Danio rerio: one gene and its partner. The main gene of each other region encodes a partner of the protein of the gene in region 2 in a complex. Links are inferred from orthologs where the notes say so. Each region holds a gene or a part of one and is shown on either strand. Other genes may lie near its edges.

The links. Proteins that work in one complex are often made in the same cells at the same time.
Region 1: dnaaf10 (region 2) and asdurf share a complex: the UniProt entries of both Homo sapiens proteins name them as parts of the PAQosome complex. The link is inferred for Danio rerio from reciprocal best matches to the Homo sapiens genes DNAAF10 and ASDURF.

What each region holds. Positions count from the first base shown.
Region 1 is NC_133184.1:42,816,593-42,820,351, forward strand, and holds asdurf (ASNSD1 upstream open reading frame protein), read right to left. Parts: upstream 2,569-3,759; 5' UTR 2,494-2,568; coding exon 2,416-2,493; intron 2,294-2,415; coding exon 2,240-2,293; intron 815-2,239; coding exon 739-814; intron 617-738; coding exon 576-616; 3' UTR 564-575; downstream 1-563. Other genes in the region: asnsd1 (asparagine synthetase domain-containing protein 1), read right to left, coding at 1-563.
Region 2 is NC_133188.1:1,036,509-1,040,267, reverse strand, and holds the start of dnaaf10 (dynein axonemal assembly factor 10), read right to left. Parts: upstream 2,321-3,759; 5' UTR 2,299-2,320; coding exon 2,113-2,298; intron 1-2,112. UniProt on the Homo sapiens protein: Key assembly factor specifically required for the stability of axonemal dynein heavy chains in cytoplasm.

The DNA.
Region 1 (3,759 bases), on a different chromosome or scaffold from region 2:
TCTAGTGAAGTGTCTGTTAGGTCAAACCTGTAAACTCCACCAGGTGGTACCTCCTGCCATTGGGATTGACTATCATCTGCTGGCTGGGAAGCAACTGATACGAGTGTGAAAAAAGCTCTTTCAGGATTGAATTTCCAAAGCAGACTTCTTCTCCCGAAAAAGTCCCTCCCGAACCAGATGCAGCGCTCAGACTTTTGGTAATAGATAAAGGCCCACGGTCCTTCGAGTTGTGATAACAAACATACAATATCTGAGGCACTGGTGGCCATTGACAGTTGATGAAGAAGAACTTTGGTGTCATTTTCTTCCTGCTCTAATTTCAGACCACCAAACACCTCTCCATTCCAGAGAAGCATATTCCCAGTGTCATCTTGAAGAGGTTGAGGGGTCAGGCAACCCCTCATATGAAGTACATGTGCAGAGAATAGGACACTGCAGTTTGAGATTTCTTTTGTAATGTCTTTGCTACAATTGGGTCCTCTGTGTTTGAGATTTTGAAGCACATTCTCCTCCAGTGGATCATGTGGTGTGGTCAAACTGACCACACAGCAGATCCCACACATGATATCACTTCACTATATATCTTGATATTCTTTCCGCATGTTATCCAGGTCCTCTGTATAACAGAATATTATGACAATGTTAGAAGAACACACTCAAAATGGTGGCATTAGTATTGTATTTATGTATCATCTATCAAAAAAGCAGAAACAACTCAAGTATAACAGAAACACTTACGTTTACAAGAGCTAAGGGTTTCTCCTTTGTCTGCCAGAAAGAATATATTGCTGTTGGGTTGCTGGGTGTACACTCTCTGTGAATATAATCTTAGTATTACTGGAATGTGATGATATCAAGTCAAGTTGAGCTTTATTGTCATTCCACTACATGTGTGATCTCGGCATGGGACGGTAACCGGTTTCAAGGTTTACCGCGGTTTGGAAAATTCAAGGTTTTAATCCCAGTAAATTGTTCTGTTATACCGTTCCCAAGTTATATGTAAAAGTTTTTTTATATATTTTTATGTGTTGTATAGAAATCTACGTTTTTCAAACTAACGAATAGAGCAGAAGTCAAAGATTTATTTTAACTATTTAGCCTGACATGTTTACTGTTCCAAAATATTATGTTCCTTAAAATAAATAATTTGTGTTCAGTGGGGAAATTATAAATGTTTGTTCTATTTTACCCATACATTTTAAAAAAGAGAGAGCAGTAATCACTTTCACAATACTGTGATACCGTGGTATTTTTATACAAGGTTATCATACCGTCAGAAATTTATACCGGCCCATGCCTAGTGTGAACATACAGAGAAACTAAATGTGCAGTCTCCCAGGACAACGGTGCTACATAAATTAATCATAAATACAAACACAACTCTGCACATAAGAGCTATTTTAAAAACCTACGCATAACTATAAGATACTTCACTATACACATGGACTGGCTATAGAAGTACTCTAGAAAATCTCCACAAAAATGGGCCAGAAATGAAACTCAGTCCTATTTGCTTCATTTACAAGTCTGCCATAAGAAGAACACTGACTTTGAGGTAAATTATCTTAAAATAATAAATTCAATAGTTCAAAGGAATTATCCAATTTGAATCCCCATGGGTTAGAAAATGGCAACAGATGATACATTTAAGGTACTTTATAAGTTGATAATTTTGTCAAGCTTAAATTCTACTTTGCTTTTAATTGATGTCAAATAAACTGTTTCACAATTACGTTTTATCTTTCATAAATTTAACTGGAAAAATATCTCTAAACATCGAAGGAACTTCTTAGTTGATATTTTTAAATGTGAATGTAATTAATATCATGGTAAGACTTTATTTTGATGGTCCCTGTTGCACATTTTTCTGACTAAAGTTGTACTGCAACTAAATGCCAGTTACTTCTCATTTGGGTATTAGTAGACTGTCTGCTTAATATCTGCTGATACTGCTGCTTTCAACATTTCACTGACTAAGAAACTTTGCAAGTACATGTCAATTTACACCAACCCCACCTGACAGTCTACTTATAATCTATTGCGAATTAGTATAGTGGAGCATAAGTTCATATATTATATTGTATGCTACACTAGAAAACATTTTAGTATATATTGCCTTCTATAGCGATGTGGTTTGACTTTGTTACATCTATAATTAAGTGAAAGCATCTGCTACACCAAATGCAGAATGACTCTTGATAATATATAGAAAGTGACAAGACGATATGACGTTACATACCCTGTTTTTCTTCAAGTTACTTAACTCGTCCACAACAATCTTTTGCTCTTTTATCTGCGAATGAATAGTTATGTTTTTAGGATCATCAAAAAACAGAAATTACTAAACATGCTTAACGCGTTTTACTGGTGTCAACTGTATACTATAAATTACAAAAAACATATATGATAGACAACCTTTTGGTTCAGCTCCTCTTTTTGTGCGCGCTCTTCTGAGGCCCCAGGCTCAGTTCGCTGTATGTTCTTGGAGGACATTGTTTATTAATACGCTTCAGATCATTTTTAGGGAAACATCTCCACGAGCAAGTAACTCGTTCGTCGCACAAGAATGACGTATGCGCCAACGACGCTTTAAAAGTGCGTCACGTAATCCTAACCCCATTATCCCCCATAAACAAAGCCTGTTAAAGAATAATGTTGGGTGGATAAATCTGCAGCATCTAAACAAAGACGCGTTGTTGAATGAAACAGGGAATCTAAGTAATGTGGTCAAATACGGTTCAAATACGTCGAATGCTTTCAAATAGAGTTTTTACCCGGATATTAACGACTTTTCATCGCGAAACAGCGGCTAGCCCATCTATCTAAACCTGATATTATCATATTATCTTATATCATATTTTGCCATTCTTCTAATGTACGATAAGATGGTAATAAACAAAGCCTATCATAGCTCTAGGCGTACATTATCTTATCCAAATATTTTGGTTTATCCTCAGTAATTTGAGAGCTATCCTAAAGAGGATTGTTTGCATTTAACTTTCAAGATGAACAAATAATGCTCATCTTAATGGAAAAATTGTTCAGGGTGTCCGCAGGGACTTTAAAAGTCTTACATTTCAAAAACAACATTTTAGGCCTTTTAAAACTTTACTTAAAAGGGTGTTACAGGTCTTAAATAATTTTAAACAGGTGTTAATTTTTTTGTCCATGTAAAGCTATTTAATCGGTACAAATAACAATTATTCTAAAAAAACAATTAACTAAATTGTATATTCTAAAACTCTTTACCAATTTGGTTCAATTATCTTTCTTAAAATAAACTTATTTTGTTTATAAATAAGTGTTTGAATTGTAATGGGGCAAGTAAAAACAAATTGCACTGGTCCTTAGAAAACAAGTTTGACATTCATTCATTCATTTTCTTTTCAGTTTAGTTCCTTTATTCATCAGGGGTCGCCACAGCGGAATGAACTACTAACCTATCCAGCATATGTTTTACACAGCGTGTGCCCTTCCAGCTGTAACCCAGTACTGGGAAACATCCATACACGCTCATTCACACTTATACACTACAGACATTTTAGTTTATTTATTTCACCTATACTTCATGACTTTGGACTGTGGGGGAAACCGGAGCACCAGAAGGAAACCCACACCAACATGGGAGAACATGCAAACTTCACACAAAAATGCCAACTGACCCAGTCAAGACTCGAACCAGCGACCTTCTTGCTGTGAGGCAACAGTGCTAACCAATGAGCCACTGTATCCCTCCTAAATTTTGTACATAGGAATAAT
Region 2 (3,759 bases):
CAGATTAAAATTAATTACAATCAAAGGCAAGAGACAGAAGGTGATTTTTTAGATGAGACTTAAAAGCACCAAGTGAAGAACATGACCGGATCTGTAAAGGCAGACCCTTCCATAGTCGGGGGGCTGCAGCAATAAAACCCTTTCACCTCTTGATTTCAACCGCGTTTTGGGGACAACTAGCTGAAACGTGTTTTCGGACCTGATTGGCCTCAATGAAGTGTGCCAGTGAAGAAGCTCAGAAATGTAAGTCGGTGCCAGACCATTCAAACTTTTAAAAACTAGAAGCAATAATTTATATTGAATTCTAAATTGGACTGGGAGCCAGTGAAGAGACAATAAAACTGGTGAGATACTAGAGGATTTTTTTGTCCCAGTTAAAAGCCTAGCAGCTGCATTTTGAACCAGCTGCAGGCGTGCTATTGATGCCTGTGAAACTCCAGAATACAAAGAGTTACAGTAGTCCAGTCTTGACATAATAAAAACATTAATGACAGTTTCCAGCTCTTTAAAAGAAAGAAAAGGCTTCAATTTGGCAATGTTCCCTAATTGATAGAAACCACTTTTGACAACTGAGTTTATTTGCTTGTCAAACTTTAACTCAGTGTCAAAAGTAACTCCAAGATTTTTTACGTGACTGTGGACCTTAGGCTTGATCGAACCTAATTTATTAATTGTAGATTCACAGACACTCGGAGGACCAAACACTAGTACTTCAGTTTTTGATTCATTCAAGTGTAAGAATTCTTCTTCCATTTCTTCCACCGGATATGAATGGCAGCCCATATAGGCGTATGCGGGAAAGTTGTATAATTTGGCACAATGATAGAGGACAGTCTTAACATTAATCAGACCAAATGTGAAGTCTCAAAATCAAACTCTCTAGCGCCACCACTTGTCCAAACTTTCACGTATGTTTATCATAATAACTTTTGAACCGAATGGGCTACAATCAAAATTCCGCTGACTCCTTGGCTCAGTCCGATTCAAACGCACCCTATGACATCATTTTCCGTCATGAATTTTTTCGCGCTATTTTAAATTTTTCGAAAAACCTATTTGATCGAACTCGTCCTAGGCCGTTTCTGCGATTTTCACCAAAATTGAATCACATGATCTACAGACCATGCCAACCAAGAGTTATGGAATTGAAGTTGATTAGACCAACTGTTTTCGCTTAACTTGCGATCAAATTTAACGTAGAACTTGCGAAAATGGACTTGAGACGATATCTCTGTAACGCATTCACCGATTCACACCAAACTTGGTGTGTGTTATGACAACTAGGGTCCGAGGTTATATGCTGAGTTTTGGCACATTGCCCCCTAGTGGTCCGGAGATACAAAAAACTTGATTTTTGGCTTATAACGTCTCAACCTTTCGTCCGAAACTGATAAAACTTGTCTCATTACATCCGGCAGAGCATGTCGAGTCGAATGATGTCTGATTTTCACAGGTCAGCCATTTTGGGCGTCGCCCATTTCGATTTTTGGCCAAAAACACTATATTTTACCAACATATTCACATATCATTACAAAACATGGTATTCATCTTCAACCCCATGCCCTAAAAGTACTCAAAAATTAAATATATATATATATATATATATATATATTATATATATATATATATATATATATATATATATATATATATATATATATATATATATATATAAAATTAAATATAATTTTAAAAAAGTGTTTCCGCAGACTGTTTTTATTAAGTCTGATTACATCAAACACAATTAATTCATCTTTACCATTAGAGGCTGGAGATATTCACAAACTGCTGACACACAACTGGGGTTAAACCCCTTATAAAAGGGATTTTTGCATAATAGATCATGAATAAATCTCTATTTTTAACTGATCCCTGACTAGTCTTATAGTCATGATTCACATGTGTATTGTGGATGAATATGAACTATGACGGTGAAGTAAACGTTAATAAACGCGTTGTAAACAGAGACTGAGGCAGTTGAGTTTTGTCGCCATGGCAACCGCGCCTCAGGACTTTTCTAGAAAGCGCCGAACTGGCTTAGCTAATAAACAGCAAAGCTTTTCAGCAGTTTGATTTGTGCTTCAGTGAATATATACTATGAAGAGACCTGACCTCTCTGACCAGCTGCAGCTCCCCGTGCTGGATCTCGTAGATCTGCATCACTCCGGTTCCTCTCGCGAAGTTTCCCATACAAACAAACTTGGCGCTGCACGGAATCCATTTGCTCTCGAACACCGTGTAGTTCAAGCTCTTCTGGATGTGCGCGATGATCTGCGGCTTCTCGAGAGCTGCTGACATGATCTGTGCTCAATATGAAACTAAAATCTATCAGTTTGAGCAGAAGGAAAGAGATGTCAGTTGCGCTGTTTGCTTCTTCTTTGTTTCAATGGCTGTTGACAACCCTCTTAAAAGCTATACTTCCGCCACCTGGTGGATTGGTGTGGGTTTTTGCTAAAAGGGATACAGCTGCGGTCGAGAATTATTTATATTATTTAACTACACATCTATTGTATTTTATTAACATCAACCCCAACCCTAAACCCAATTCTGACAGTATTATTTATTAAATAACCTATTAATTGTATGTTATTACCATATTTCCATCTACCCCTACCTCAACAATAAACCCAAACCTCACAGTAATGCAAAAACAGCAATTAAACAGAGTATTAGTCATATTATTTCATAAATTAACCATTAATTTTATTGTATTAACGTCTATCTCTACCCCAAACCTAAACCCAACCATAACAGTAATGTAAAAACAGGTATACACAGTATTAGTCATATTATTTATTTAATTACCCATTCATTGTAATTTATCAATGTCTACCCCCACCCCAGTAATGGAAAAAGTAATAATACAAAGTATTATTCATATTTTTTATAACATTACCTATTAAATTGAATTTTTATTAACATTTACCCCTTTTATCACAGTAATGTGAAAATATTAATTATTGTTGTAGTGTTACACAAATTATGTCATATTGATGTACCTGCAACTGCATCCCTTCTAGACTTCACTGTTTTTTTTACTGGATACTAGTAATATATAACAGAATAAAATGTATTTTACACACACACACACACACATATATATATATAATCTTTATAGTTCATTCTCCTTAAATTCCATTTATTATACCTATTGCATTTCACTGATTTATAATCGCAAAATACACTTCATATTGTTCTGGGGCATTTCTTAACATATTCTTAATTGTTATATTCTCAATTTTCAATAGACTGAACTTTGTTGCTCTTATACCGAGTGCTTTTGTTATTGTTTTTTAATTCACCCCAATTTATTGCTTAACATATTCTTAAATTAAAGGGACTAAGCCAACAAGAAAATGAATGAATGAATATTCTTAAATTCTCATTTGTTTTAAACTTAATTCTCCATAAGTTTCACTCATTTAGTATTCATAATTTCTAATAATATGTTTCTCTATCTGCACTGCTCCACATTTATTAACATTTCCTGATTCACGTTTTACAATAATGAATGTCTGGTAGGTGCTGTCTGTGTTTATCTATCTATCTATCATGTTTGTCTGTCTATCCATCCATCCGTCCGTCTATATCTGTCTGTCTATCCGTCCATCCTATCTATCTATCTATCTATCTATCTATCTATCTATCTATCTATCTATCTATCTATCTATCTATCTATCTATCTATCTATCTATCTATCTATCTATCTATCTGTCTGTCTGTCTGTCTGTCTGTCTGTCTGTCTGTCTGTCTGTCTGT